Linked DNA regions of Stegostoma tigrinum. The protein of the gene in region 1 purifies or fractionates together with the protein of each later gene. This does not show direct contact. Links are inferred from orthologs where the notes say so. Each region holds a gene or a part of one and is shown on either strand. Other genes may lie near its edges.

Region 1 (7,688 bases):
ACAGACCTTTGGTACAATGTATCAATTTCAAAAGCTCCATGTAGGCCTGCACATTTTATTAAAATCTCCAAGCCTAGGAAAAGCACATCATCTTTTAAAGAGACCACGCACTCTTCCCCCTTATTTTACAAACATCAGATATTCGACTAAGCTTTGCAACAGTGTATTCAATGGTTGCACTGCAATGTTTGCCCAAACCCAGTTGCTCTGAAGTGTTGCTGATGAGCCTTTACCTGCTATTACGGAAAGGATTACAACAATTATGTAGCCACATGTCTGTTAGATGGGAAAAACATAAGAATTGGATAATGCATGATAACAAATAAAATATACGTCCAAACCAGAAACTTCCCTGACATTGTTTCTCTCTTTTTCAGTCACAAAGAATTCAAGCCAGGGTGGTGCTGGTAATGTAACCTTGGTGAATAGCTGCAGTGTACTTTATAGACAAAACAAACCGCAGCCACATTGTGCCAGTAATTTAGATAATAAACATATAGTCAAAAGGCAGGGCTGCCAATTAATACAGACATTAATTTGGGAAAAATGGAGTGGCCAAGCATATGGGGTTGTAGATTTCACCAATGGAGGAGGTCAGAGCACATTAATCAAGAAGAATATTCATTAATCAAGATCAGCATTTTGAAGTCAATGCAGTTGGAAAATTTGTGAAGATCAGTGAAGGGAAGATTGAAAGAAAGTGGTAATTTAGAATAGCATTACCATTTTGGCCAGCTTGGGAATGTTTGGTTGGAATGCAGTGGAATCCAACAAGAAGAATGATACAACAACAGGAACAATAACTTAAATGAGAGATCCATAGTGCATTGAATGGAAACATAGCACTGACTCACCACAATAGCAATTAAGCTACCACTTGTGGCCCTGTAGCATTTATTTTCCTTTTCAGATAATTATCCAATTCCCCTTTGAATACACAACTGAAATGGCACATGCTTGCAGGGAGTACATTCCAGATTTTAGTTATTCACTGTGAAAAATAAATTTTAGTTTTGCACAAAAAAGAGACAGTATGTTGAAACTTTCTGCCTCGCATTCAGAGTCATTGAGTTGTACAACATGGAAACAGACCCTTCAGTCCAACTCATCCATGCCAACCTGGCATCCTAAATAAATCTAGTCCCATTTGCCAGCATTTGGTCCTTATCCCTCTAAACATTTTCTCTTCATATCCCCATTCAGAATCCATTTAAGTGTACCAGCCTCTATGACTTCTTCTGGCAGCTCATTCTATATACACATAACCCTCTGCATGAAAACGTTGCCCCTCAGGTCCCTTTTAAATATTTCCCCTTTCACCTTAAATCTATGTCCTCTAGTTTTGGACACCCCCACACTGGAGGAAAGCCCAAGTGCATTGACCCTATTGGTGCCCCTCATGATTTTATAAACCTCTACAAGGTCAGCCCTCAGTCTCCAATGCTCCAGGGAAAAGAGCCTCAACCTTTTCAGCCTCTCCCTATTGCTCAATCCCTTCCACCCTGGCAACATCCTTGTAAATCTTTTCTAACTCTTTCAAGTTTCACAACATCCTTCCTACAGCAGGGAGACCAGAATTGCATGCAGTATTCCAAAAATGGCCTAACCAATGTCCTGTACAGCCACAACATGACCTCCCAACCCCTATACATTCATCATGATAAATGCTACAATATGAAATTTTAAACGGAACAGCAATTTATATCGCATGTGCAAAGTGGGCTGATTGTTGACAAATGAATACAGGCATTGTGATGGAGAATGTTGTCAAGGCAGAGGCATCAGAAACTCAATCGGGGTGGTGGTAATGTCCCTAACTCCAAGCCAGGAGTCCTAGATACTCCAGAGGTGTGCAATAGCTTCTCTGCACAGGCTGATTAGAAAACATCTATACTTCCTTGCTTGGGAGTGGACTGTGCTTTCAAAGTCATGTCCCGATACTATTCGTACATGCAGAAAAACTGGTAGTGAAGCACAGATCGCTGATTTTAGGCCTTTGGCAAAGATAACATAGGAATAGGAACAGGCTACTTGAGCCTGTTCCACCATTCATTGAGATCATAGGAGATCTGTGGCCTAATTCAATTTACTTGCCATTGGTCTGTTTCCTTTAATAAGTTTGCTTAACCAGTTTTTCTATCACAGATTTAAAATTAACAAACGATCCTGTATCCACTGGTGTTTGTGGAGCAGAATGCCAATATATCCACCAACCTTTGTGTGTAGAAATACTACTTAACACCTTTCCTGAACATTGTGGCCTTAATTCTCAGACTATGTCCCCTAGTTCTAGAATCCGAGCCAGTATAAATAGTTTTATCTATTCTGTCTTTTGCTGTAGAATCTTGAAGACTTTCATCGGATCACCCCTTAACTATCTAAATTCTAGGGAAGACTGGTCAAATTTTTATAATCGCTCCTCATAATACAATCCCTGAAGTCCAGGTATCATACTTGCAAAGTTGTACTCCCTCCAATGCTAATATGTCCTTCCTCATGTGTAGTGCCCAAATCTGTCAACAGCACTGCAAGTGAATGAATAGACGAATGAATGAATAACTTTATTGTCATGTGTATTTTATGGTGAGAATAACAAAGTACAGTGAAAAGCTTTTCCATTGTTGCCATGATCCAACACTATTTTCCATCAGGTGGGGAGACTAGGACCCGTGGGCACAGCCTTAGAATTAGAGGGGGTAAATTTAGAACAGAAATGAGGAAATATTTCTTCAGCCAGAGACTGGCGGGCCTGTGGAATTCATTGCCACAGAGCACAGTGGAGGCCGGGATGTTAAATGTCTTCAAGGCAGAGACTGATAATTTCTTGATCTCACAAGGAATTAAGGGCTATAGCGAGGAGGTGTGGGGGCAAGTGAAGCACTTCCTGCAGTTGCAGAGGAAGGAGCTGGGTGTGGTGGGGTTGGAGGGGAGTGTGGAGCGGCCAAGGGGGTCACGGAGAGAGTGGTCTCTCCAGAAGGCAGACAAGGGTGGGGATGGAAAAATAGCTTGGGTGGTGGGGTCAGATCGTAGATGGCAGAAGTGTCCAAGGATGATGCGTTGTATCCGGAGGTTGGTGGGGTGGTATGTGAGAACGAGGGGGATCCTCTTGGGGCGGTGTGGCGGGGGCGGGGTGTAAGGGATGTGTTGCGGGAAATGCAGGAGACGCGGTCAAGGGCGTTCTTGACCACTGCGGGGGGAAAGTTGAGGTCCTTGAAGAACGTGGACATCTGGGATATGCGGGAGTGGAATGCCTCATCATGGGAGCAGATGCAGCAGAGGCGGAGGAATTGGGAATAGGGGATGGAGGTGTATTCTCGGTAGCTGTGAGAGTCGGTGGGCTTGAAATGGACATCAGTTACAAGCTAGTTGCCTGAGATGGAGACTGAGAGGCCCAGGAAGGTGAGGGATGTGTTGGAGCTTGCCCCCACACTTCCTCCCTCACCCCCATCCCAGACCCCAAGATGACTTTCCATATTAAGCAGATGTGTTCCGCCAATGTGGTATACTGTATCCATTGTACTCGGTGTGGCTTCCTCTACGTCACGGAAACCAAGCGAAGGCTCGGGGACCGCTTTGCAGAACACCTCCACTCGGTTCGCAACAAACAACCATCTGTCACAAACCATTTCAGCCCGCCCTCCCATTCCTCAGATGACATGTCCATCATGGGCCTCCTGCAGTGCCACAATGATGCCACCCAAAGGTTGCAGGAACAGCAACTCATATTCCGCTTGGGAACCCTGCAGCCCAATGGTATCAATGTGGACTTCACAAGCTTCAAAATCTCCCCTTCCCCCACTGCATCCCAAAACCAGCCCAGCCTGTCTCTGCCTCCCTAACCTGTTCTTCCTCTCATCCATCCCTTCCTCCCACCCCAAGCCGCACCTCCATTTCCTACCTACCACCTCATCCCTCCTCCTTGGCCTGTTCGTCTTCCCTGGACTGACCTATCCCCTCCCTACCTCCTCACTTATACTCTCCTCTCCACCTATCTTGTTTTCTCTCCATCTTCGGTCCGCCTCCCCCTCTCTCCCTATTTATTCCATTTCCCTCTCCCCATCCCCCTCTCTGAAGAAGGGTCTAGGCCCGAAACGTCAGCTTTTGTGCTCCTGAGATGCTGCTGGACCTGCTGTGTTCATCCAGCTCCACACCTTGTTATCTCGGTTTCTCCAGCATCTGCAGTTCCCATTATCTCTAGTACGAGGCCGTCGCCTGCCTAAACTTGTACCCATGCCTCCTGACTCTCAGAAAGAGCGACATTACCACGGCCCGGCAACATTGTTGGCGAGGAAAGGACGCATGGTGCCTTTAAAGATAGTTGAGTAGTTTCCATCGGTAGGCGAAGAACTACAATCCCCATGGTTCAGCGCGGGAAGGGCATGCGCAGTGGTGTGAAAGGAGAACGGGCCATTCGGCGGCCTGGCAGGCAGGAGGGAGTGAAAAGATGAACGATCAGGGGAAACGGTGACTTCCCGCCGAGCCGTGTTGATGGCGATCTCTCCACCTCTGAAGGGGAGGAACGATATAGAGTGAAGGCGGGGCCAGGGGAAGGGGTGGGTGGGGAATCGTTAAAAGGGAAATCGCTCGGAGCCTGAAACCGTGCACCCCGAGGGAGAGGGGACCGGTGGCGGGGCAGGTGGATGAGGGTTTGGGTGGGGGTTTTGGTTGGTGGGGGACGGCCGAGCGAACTCCGCTGCAATGCTTGGGCGTCGAGAGGCCGCGGCGGCGAGGCCGGAATTCAGCGGCTGAAGAGAGAGAGGAGAACGGCGCGACATGTTTCGCTGTGCGATCGACCGATGGGTGAGTGTCCTTCGCTCCGCCCGGGCGGGGGGGAAAGCTTGGAAGCTCAGTTTAACTCTTACCGGCGGTGGCGGTTGTTTGGTGTAGCGGAGGGGGATTCGTGAAATCCTTCTGAGGCGCGGGCTCCGTGACTGAGGCGACCGGCGGCGGCGCCTCCGAACGTTGACCCCCGGGAGCCGCCGCGTGCAGCGCGAGCCTCGGCACCCGCTGCGAGCTCCCGCGAGCCACCCTCTTGTGCATCTCGCCTCTGCTTGCAAAGTTGTCCTCATTTCCTTTCTCTTTTCATTTCACCCCCTTCCTTTCTCTTTTTTTTCTCCCCCCCCCCCCCTCTAATCGCAGAAATACGATCAACACGCCCGTTACTTTGTGAAATTTTGTGTTTTAAAAATTCCTTTGGAGGGAAGCCATGCTGCATTCTTGCGATGTTTTTATTTCGGTTTTGTTTTGCTTATCTATAAGTTTGAAATATTGCATTTTGATATGCAGATTGCATTGATTATTTGATAACATGCTGCAGTCCTCGGTGAGAAATTATTTGCGTTCATGCTTATGGGACGTCTGATGTGCCGACATCGCATCAGCACAAGTTTCTCATTTCTTCACTGCTACTCCGTTGCGTTTCGGGTAGCTGCAATAAGTTTTCTGGCCGATTTAGCACGTTTTCTCTCCAAGATTGGTGGCCTGTGCTTTGAACTCGGACTGTGCTGTCTCAATTTTGTAAATATTTCCAGTGTAACGTGTAAAATAGGCTGCAGTGTTCTCAACTAGCTTTTATACAGTTAGAATAGGCAATTCTCCAGTAAACTATATACAGATGTTTTTACTAGTGACGGCAATTATTAACACATCGCGTCTAAAATTAGCAACATATTTTATGGGGAACAGGCTTTAAAAGCCGCTATTGTTGAATATGATGGAAATAATGACACTGCATCGGCTTATTTTCATAAGCAGTACCACCTTTTGTGGATAGGGATTTGGAGGATGCAGGTTAAATCGTAGAGGTATTTCATTCACAATCTGTATTAGTGACGGACGGTTTTGATGTGAATCACGTTCTACTGAGTGAGGGACTAGATGGAATGTGGCGATTTAGCTATCTTTCTGTCACCCTGGTGCAGTTGCTCTTGTACAGATTGAAGATAAGGGAATACATTCCAAGGATTTGGTTTTCTTTTGGCCCCTGGCTTGTGCTGCGGTGTGGTATGTGTGTCGCGGTGCTAGCCATCCTCCAATATTTGATGATCTGACCGCTTTCAATGTGAACAAGTCTGTTGATTTGGCTGCACTTCTGTTAAACCTGAGTCCATTCCTCACTAATAGTTGCACGTCTTTTCTGGTAGAGGTCAGTGGAAAGTGAGTAGGAGTGGGAAAGGTGACCAGATGTACTTTCTACATCTTGAGATGCTGCAGCAAATTCCTCACCTCACTGTTTTATAGTCTGTAACGTCTCTTTGTAATCAGTTGTCAAATATTTTCAAGCAAATGTAGCATGACATTAAAGCATTAGTGCTTTAACCCCTTGCGCAAGATAGCATGGAAACTAATTAGTTAACATGTTTTGAAAGTTTAACTGCAAATGTATAAACTTATTTGAGTGTTTTTGGAATAATTTCAAACTATAAAACGATTCTTTAATTACAGTCAGGTAATACACACGTTGTGTGATTTTTATGCTAACATTTGACATTGTCGACTCTTATGCATTACAGTACAAACACCTATGATGTCCACATTGACATGTAGTTGGCTAAAATAGGACTGATTTTTATAAGTTTAAAGGCACAGTCTGTACATTATTATAATTCACTATCGCAAGCAATGATTGGGAAGTGTTCAAATGACATCCCTGCTCCTATGAAAGAACTTCATGTCTTATTATGGTGGTTTCTTGCTAATTTCCGCTGAACAAGATGTGTGCTAAATTTGAAAAGGAAATATCTAAATACAATTTTCTGCACACTGCTTCAAGATTATGAAAGAAAATTTGGGAGATTGTAATGTGGTGACTGTAGCATATATATCTGCCCTTTCTGTGCTATTTATATTAGTTAGCAGAACAAATCAAAGCTAATCTGTTTAAGAGATACTGGGAACTGCAAATGCTGGAGAATCCAAGATAACAAAGCTTTTCTGATGAAAGGTCTAGGCCCGAAACATCATCATTTGTGTTCCTAAGATGCTGCTTGGCCTGCTGTGTTCATCCAGCCCCACACTTTGTAATGTCTCAACCACAAAGATCGCAAGTATTTTTCAAATGTAGACTTTGCTGAAATTAATAACCACGTTACACCATCTGACCAAAACTGAACAAACTTAAACATGCTAGTAGCACATTTTACAAGATTTCCATGTACAGTGGAAACTATTCTTGGATCATCTCATGCAAGTTTGGTAGTTTGCAATACCTTCTTTTGATGGAAAATTGATCAAATAGGAGAGCTGCTAAGTTTTAAAAAATTTTTTAACTCTTTTGTTATTGCTGAAAAGAGATGCATTTTTGTTAAACTTTCTGTCTTGCATTCATCAGGGCGTTTTGCAAGAACACTGAATCAAGGGGCAAACCAACATTTTTGCTATCTAAGTGGTTGGCAAGTGAGCACTGATCGAGGCATCGCCATAGACAATTCACCCATTGATGTGTTAACTGCCAAGCATAATTTTAAATTTTAAACTAGGCTAGTTGATCCTGCTTGGATAGAGTGTCACTCAGATAAATGAACCAGTAAGTGAGTTGAAACTGGTGCAGTGCTAGTATATGTTCTTTCTGTCTGCAAAAAAAAAAGACCTGTGTATTAATACATTTAGCTTCAAGTCCAGTATTGGAAAAATACCCCTCACGTTCACAAATTTCCTTTTTAGGAAAGAAAATCTGCCTAGTCTGGTGA
Region 2 (7,836 bases), on another chromosome or scaffold:
TGCTCGTGAGAAGGTGGTGGTGAGTTGTGTTCTTGAACTACTGCAGTTCATGTGCTGGAGCCACAATGCCCTTGGGGAGGGAATTCCAGGATTTGACCCAGTGACAATGAAAGTCAGTATGTTTCTAAGTCAGCATAGTGAGTGGCTTGGAGGGGAACTTGCAGGAAGTGGTGTTCCCTATCTGCTTCCCTTATCCTTCTCAATGGAAGTAGTCACAAGTTTGGAAGGTACAGTCTTTGATGAATTTCTTCAGCGCATCTTGTAGATAGTACACATTGCTGCTACTGAGTATCAGTGATGCTTGTGATTGCTTGTGGATGCGGTGCATATTGATTGGGCTGCTTTGTCCGATGGTATCAAGCTTCTTGAGTGTTAAAGCTGCACCCAATCCAAGCAAGTCGGCAGTATCTCTTGTGCCTTATACACAGTGAACAGGCTTTGGGGAGTCTGCGGGTGAGTTGTTTGCAACAGTATTCTAGCTTCTGACCTGCCCTTGTAGTCATTGTATTTATATGGCAGCAAGTCCAGTTGAGTTTCTGGTGAATCGTAACCCCAGGATGCTGATAGTGGAGAATTCAGTGATGGTGGCACCATTAAATATCAAGGGGTGGTGGTTAGATTGTCTTTTACTGGAGATGGTCATTGGCCAACATTTGTATGGCATGAATATTACCTGCCACTTGTCAGCCCAAGTCTGATTAATGTTACTGATCTTATTGCATTTGAAAATGGACTGCTTTGATGTTTTAGGAGTCGTAAATAGTGCTGAACATTGTGCAGTCATCCGCAAACATCCTCTCACGTCTGACCTTATGATGGTGGGATGATCATTGATGAAGCAGCTGAATATGGTTTGGCCCTGGGCACTACCCTGAAGAATTCCTGCAGAGATGTCCTAAAGCTGAGATGACTGACTGCCACAGCCAACAACTACTCATCTTCCTGTGTGCCAGATACGACTCCAATCAGCAGCGAGTTTTGACCCAATTCTCATTTAGTCCAGTTTGCTAGGGTCCTTGATGCCACACCTGGTTGAACGTGGCCTTGATTTCAAGGGCAATCACTCTCAACTCACCACTGAAGTTCAGTTCTTATGACCATGTTTAAGCCAAAGCTGTAATGAGATAAGAGCTGAGTTGCCCTAGTGGAGATCAACTGGATGTCAGTGAATTTGTTATTGCTGAGCAGGTGCTGCTTTGATACCCCTGCTGATGACACCTTCCATCACTTTGCTGATGCTCAAGAGTACACTGATGGGGCAGAAACTGATCAGGTTGGATTTCTACTGCTTTTTGTAACAGGACATCCACATTGTCAGGTAAATGTCAGGATTTTAGCTCTACTGGAAGAACTTGGCTAGGGGAGTGGTAAATTCTAAAGCATTAGTCTTCAGTGCTATTGTCAGAATATTGTCAGGGCCCATAGTATTTGCACTATCCAGTGTCACTAATTGTTTCTTGATATCACGTGGAGTGAATCGAATTGGCTGAAGAGTTGGCATCTGGAGGGTTGTAGGTATTTGGAACTCATTGCTGAAAGGGTGGTAGAAGTTCACATCATTTGAGAAGTATATAGATGAACGTTTGAAATGACATTGGTTACAAGGATACAGGCCAAGTGCAGGAAAATAGAAATAAAATAGATGGATATGTGATGATGACAAAGTGTAGGCCCAAAACATCAGCTTTTGTGCTCCTGAGATGCTGCTTGGCCTGCTGTGTTCAACCAGCTTCACACTTTGTTATCTTGGATTCTCCAGCATCTGCAGTTCCCATTATCTCTGGATATGTGACAGTTGGGGTAGACAGAATGGGTTGAAGGACCCCTTAAAACTGTAAAAATTCGACAATTCTCTGAAAATTGGGAACTTAATCAAGGTGCTAATAGTTCCTTATGTGTGTGGAACCACAACCTGACGCCCCTCTACACCACCCTCATAGCAGAATGTTTGCTTTAATTGTTGAGCAAATTGATCACATCAGTCAAGGTAGAGTCAAATTAATGCACTGTACACTGAGAATCTTCCAGGTTATCCTTAAACTCACACAGAAAACTAATATTGGGGTGACTAGGGTTTGATCAATTAATGGAAGCGTCGAATCACAAATTGGTATGGCACAGATAAAGGCCATTTAGTCCAACATGCCTACACCATTTATATCCAAGTGTTTTCATTTTCTCTCACAACTTGCTTGCTTCATTTGCGTATCACTTTAAATCTATGCTTTCTTGGCATTCCTTCTTTTACGAGCCAGAATAGCTCTGGATTGAACCTCGTCTGTCATCTATCCATCTACTCCACCATCTTGTCAATATGTTTTTGGAGTTTCATAAAGTCCTCTTCGCAGTTTACAATTCTTCCTTCCACTGATCATTACTCTCTGTTTCCTATCAGTCAGCCATTTTTGTATCCATGTTACTATTGTCACCTTTATAACCATGACCTATAATTTTCCTCACAAGTCTATTGAGTGACACTGTATCAAATGCCTTTTGAAAATCCATGTATACTATTAAATCATAGTCCCATAGGACCAGAGGGCTTCTCTCTCATGAGAAAGACATCTGGTGGGGAGGTCAACCATAGGTTCACAGTGCCTTAGGGAAACGGGTCAAGAAGGCAGGACTTTTATGGTCAACAACAAGAAGTACAAAAACAGAAGCTGCTGGAAAAGTTCAGCAGGTCTGGCAGCATCTATGAAGAGAAATCAGAGTTAATGTTTCGGGTCCGGTGACCCTTCCTCAGAACTGATGGTAGCGAGGAAATGTCTGCATATAGGCAGAGGATAGAGTGGAGGGAGGTTGTGAGAAATAAATGAAATGTGGGGAAAGAGCCCAACAAGAGAGAAAAACAGTTGGACACATAAAGGAGTTGATAATGATCTGGCTAGGAGGTTGAAAAGCTGTTGATGGGAACCGTTGGTGACTAACAGTAGGTAGCCTTCATTCCCGACCCCATCCCTGTCCCTTTTTTTCTGTATATAAACTGACATTTTTCCAGCCACCATCTGTTCTGAGGAAGGATCACCAGAACCAAAACATTAACTCTGTTTTCTCCTTCACAGATGCTGCCAGACCTGCTGAGCTTTTCCAGCAACTTTGTTTTTGTATCAGATTTACAGCATCCGCAGTTCTTTTGGTTTTCAACAGGAGGTAGTGTGTCCTGGCAGACTATTTGATAACAAGGCCTGGTGTGTGGAGTAGGGGGCTAGGACATGGGAGAGTTCAGGACCTAAAATAATTGAACTCAGTACTGGGTCGCGGGGGGTAGCTGTCTGTCGAACTTTGAACATCATAGAGATAACTGTGAGTCTGGGTGGATTCAAGGCTCTGGGGAGAGTCTGAGCAGCAGGCAGTCACTGAGGAATATGGACCAAATAAAAATCAACAGAACTGCAAATGCTGTAAATCAGGAACAAAAACAAAGTTGCTAGAAAATTTCAGCAGGTCTGGCAGCGTCTGCGAAGGAGAAAATAGAGTTAATGACCCTGCGAAGGGTCCCCAGACCCAAAACGTTAACTCTGTTTTCTCCTTCACAAATGCTGCCAGGCCTGCTGAGCTTTTAAAGCAACTTTGCTTTTGTCACTGAGGAATGTGATATAGCTGACCTCATCTTGGTGACTTCAGCTAGTGAGGGAATTGAACACGCACTGTTGGCATCAGTTTGTGTTGTGTACCAACCATCCAGCCTGAGCTAACCACATCAATCTTTTCTGTTACCTCTTCAAAAGACTCCAGCAAGTTCACTAAACATGATTTTCCTTTAGGGGAGTGCAAGGTGCCATAAGCTTGAGACTCACTAAATCCAATGTGGATGTTCAGAAAAATAACCCAGACAGCAGTTGAAATATAGAAATTGGTCAAACAGGGAGTAGATGAAATTTTCGGTGCTTTGACTGTGAAGCTAGTTAAAGAGAAGAAATGCGAAGCATATCAGCCAATCAACACTATTCCCATAAAAGTGTAAGCCATAAGGAATTGTTTGGACGTATCACCTTGGAATCCTGACTAACGGTAAGCAGGACATTGGGGGTTAGGTGGATTCAGCTTGTCTGGTCCAGTCTCCTTTCGCTGTGTGAATTGCAGAAACAGAAGTTGCTGGAAAAGGTCAGCAATCTGTGAAAAGAGTTCCGAGGAAGGGTCGCCAGACCGGAAACGTTAACTATGATACCTCTTCACAGATGCTGCCAGATCCGCATTTCCAGCAACTTCTGTTTTTGTTCCCGATTTACAGCATCCGCAGTTCTTTCGGTAAACTGTAGAGAGTCTGACCTTGTGGCCGCTCTGACTGAGGGGTGTGAGCCGAAATGACAACTATTTTTTCCCCCGAAGACGGTGACGGTGAGTAACATACGAGCAAGAAACCGGATGGAGGTTTGGAGAAGGCTTGTCTGGAGCAAAGCACCACTTAGACGGAATATCCTGCTTCAGCGCTTTGCATTCTCCATAATTTATCTGTAATATAATTAAGGGAGCTGTTTACTTTGTTTGATTCCACGCTCGGACCTCTTCACTCCTCTACCTGCCATCTTCAGGTATTTTCTCTATTGTATCTTCCAGCCTGGAATATCAGTAAAGTCCTAGTGTTAGTCAAGCCCCTAAGACTGTATTTACAAACAATTCATCATGTCTTAGACTTCCATCAGCTGAATGTTGATTGGTCTGTAACAAATTGCTGTCGAAACGCTTTACTGGTCGTTATGGAAACAGCAGCTCGGAATGTTCAAGAGCGTCATGACGTCCTTGAACGTGATCATGCGATGACGTTAATTATAGACGTCATCGCGTAGCAGCGTACTCGGGTTTTGGTTTCCGGGATTAGTTCCTTCTTTCTCCTCAGGGGTTAGGTCCGAGCGGTAAGTGGTACATTGGGGTTTGGTGTGTCAATCGTAGAGACCGTGATCTTGTGGCCGCTCTGACTGGGGGGGGTCTGAGCCGAAAATGGCAACTAATTATTCCCCCAAAGATGATGATGGTGGTGAGCAGCACAAGAGCAGGAAACCGGACAACACCGCATTTAAGCAGCAGCGCCTCCCCGCCTGGCAGCCTATTCTCACCGCCGGCACTGTCTTACCCGCTTTCTTTATAATAGGCCTCATTTTCATCCCCATCGGCATCGGCCTGTTCGTCACCTCCAACAACATCAAAGAATTCGAGGTAAGTCCCGTGGCGGAAGCACTGTAAGCTTTGTGAGGTTGAGGACAAATGAGGAACAGCGTCAACCAAGGCATACAATTGTCAACCTAATTCTTCCTTAATATTATTGGTCTACGTACGGCACACCCTAGACACTGATACCATTAGGTTTTTAACTTTTCGGTCTATGCCAATATATAATAGTGTGGTTATCAGTAGTAAAGTTGCAAATCTGCAAAGAAGCATTCCTTTTGGATGTATTCTTTTGGAGGAATGGTGTTTAGTTCGATCAGACCTAATGTATACCAAACTAATCTGTGAAAACACATTATTGAAACATCTGTAATGATATCGTTTCTCGTTATGATCGGGAACACTTGTAGGCAGTGTTGTGGTGACACCCTGCTTTTAAATGCGAGCACTCTAAGCATGGAACCAACGTAGATTGCAGATCCTAAATCGTTGGGTATTTTTGGGTTTATTTGGAAGATGCTTTCTGAACGGAATGGCCTGCTTTGCATTACCTAGCAATGTTTTTAATTAAAGTACCTCCAGATTTTGCAAACTACATTTATTTTAATTATTTTTCCTTTTATCAATTGATGCTCCTTAACATTGGCTTTATTTTTTGCAAACCTTTGGCAAGATCAGCAACACAGACAGATAAAGGCAAGGTGTACTACAGAGACAACAGTCAGAATGTGGAGTAACAGAAGTACCTTGAAACTTTGGGAAATGACTACCTCATTTGTGCCTAATTCCAAATTTCTTTGTTTTTTTGCTAAATTATCATGAAAGAGATTAAGGTCATATCCTCGGTTACTGTAATCTATAAATCTTAAATGTTTGAATGTTTAAACTAACAAGAGACCTACTAAAATGTTTCAATCATATTAGTACTGAAATTGTACCTCTTTACAGGAAGTATAGTTATTCTTTCACCAAATATATCAACAGAGTCAAAATGCCAATGTTTGGAATTAAACTACTTAAAACTGTCCATGCGTAAACATGGTACAGAAGTACATATTTTTGTTAGGGCTCTGACTGTTTTTTATTTGGTTAAAACTATAGAATGTGAAAGTCTTGTTGGAAACTGTTTTCTCCCAGGTTGAAAAGACAGGTTTAGATCCGGTGAGCTCAATAGTATTTGAATGTACAGTCTCTTTGCTATTATAATTTTTTTTGTCTGTCATTGGAAAAATAACAACATGTTATCTACGAACCTTGTTCCATGATTATCGCTGTTTAGGATTCCTGTTTTTGAAGCGGTATTCTAACTACTCCATTCTTCAATTTATTTGTGTGGTGGCATTCCCTTTCAGGTTAGATTGTATAGACGTTCAAGATATGAATGTTAGCTTCATCTGTTGAAACAACGTTCATGTCAAATGATTAAAATAATACATCTTTGCAAAAACATCAAATCTGGTGAATTTTCTTGATTTAAGATCAAAAATAACTTTTGGATAATAAACCATTAAATAATTGTCCCTGCTATTTGTCACACTTAACAAATCCACCATTTCATTGTTTCCTTCCATGCCATTCCCTATGCTACTCTCTAATCCCTCCTGTGCTATTTCCAAGCATTTGTTGCCAACCATATCCATTCCACCAATCTCATCCATTCCTCACAAAACAATTTTTTCAGCCAGAATAACTTCATTACTGGGCTCTGCTTTCCTTCTGCCGTTTTTGAGCTCCCCACCTTTGGTGTCACCAACTGTGGGTAGCCACATGCCTGTCATGAGGTCTTGTTCTCTGCTTTGCTCATGTGCCTTTGTGTGTGCCAGTTACTGCCCAGCAAATAGACTTACCAAGAAGTGCACACTTCAGCTGCTGAATCATAATCATGTACCTTGACAAAAACTGAGTTTATCTGCAGATTTTGATATAAAAAAAATCAACTTTACATTAGGCTAAGAATTTACCAAGTATCAGTGTATGTCTCATTACGTAAATTCATTTTGCAGATAAACGTTGTGTGTTCAGTGCCAAACTGACTATCAGAGTGCCATCAATTCTTGAAACTCTGTCCTATAACTTTAATCGTGAAGTGTATGGTTTCATGATGCTATGAGAATGAACTCATTTCTGTCAGGCCATTATGGAAAAATAGTTTCCACCTAGCAGCTCCTTTTTCTCCCCCCTCCTATGGAGAAGAAATTTTAGTTACTTGGGCTGTAATTGACCAAGGACCAAATATGACACTGGCAAATTCCAGCAAATGTGTTGCCTTGTTATCATAAACTTTTTGCCCCAGTTACAATATGGTGCATGAAAAAGCAAGGGAATTTAAAAAATAAACATTGAGGTAAAATTATTGGATTTCAGCCTGATGCAATTTCTTTTCAGGTTCAATGATTCTGAATAACTGTAAAATAATCCCATTAAGATGTGTGGCTTGCAAGCCAGGGCCTGTCTTTTTAGCCCTTGAAAGCTGAATGCAATATCTCTCAAGAGTACTGGTCAGGAATCTTCAGTTTAAATTGCCCTTGTTACCTCTGAATAGTATCTTATATCACATTTTATTTTATTTTGAGGCATCGTTGAAAAATAACAAAGTCTGGTAATTATTATTAAAACTGGCGAGAATGAGTTTGATAGCAAGCCTTTCATCTGTCTGAAGGACAAGAGAAATTCCTGTCCTCTTGTTCACTTTTAGCTCTGGTGTTCAATATTAAAATCAGAGCAGTG

The links.
Region 2: the proteins of phospholipid-transporting ATPase IG-like (region 1) and cell cycle control protein 50A-like purify together in Homo sapiens (co-immunoprecipitation; 4 studies listed by BioGRID and IntAct, with this or other methods). This does not show direct contact. The link is inferred for Stegostoma tigrinum from reciprocal best matches to the Homo sapiens genes ATP11C and TMEM30A.

What each region holds. Positions count from the first base shown.
Region 1 is NC_081368.1:4,262,075-4,269,762, reverse strand, and holds the start of phospholipid-transporting ATPase IG-like, read left to right. Parts: upstream 1-4,664; 5' UTR 4,665-4,773; coding exon 4,774-4,800; intron 4,801-7,688. UniProt on the Homo sapiens protein: Catalytic component of a P4-ATPase flippase complex which catalyzes the hydrolysis of ATP coupled to the transport of aminophospholipids, phosphatidylserines (PS) and phosphatidylethanolamines (PE), from the outer to the inner leaflet of the plasma membrane.
Region 2 is NC_081362.1:27,361,820-27,369,655, reverse strand, and holds the start of cell cycle control protein 50A-like, read left to right. Parts: upstream 1-4,777; 5' UTR 4,778-4,941; coding exon 4,942-5,157; intron 5,158-7,836. UniProt on the Homo sapiens protein: Accessory component of a P4-ATPase flippase complex which catalyzes the hydrolysis of ATP coupled to the transport of aminophospholipids from the outer to the inner leaflet of various membranes and ensures the maintenance of asymmetric distribution of phospholipids.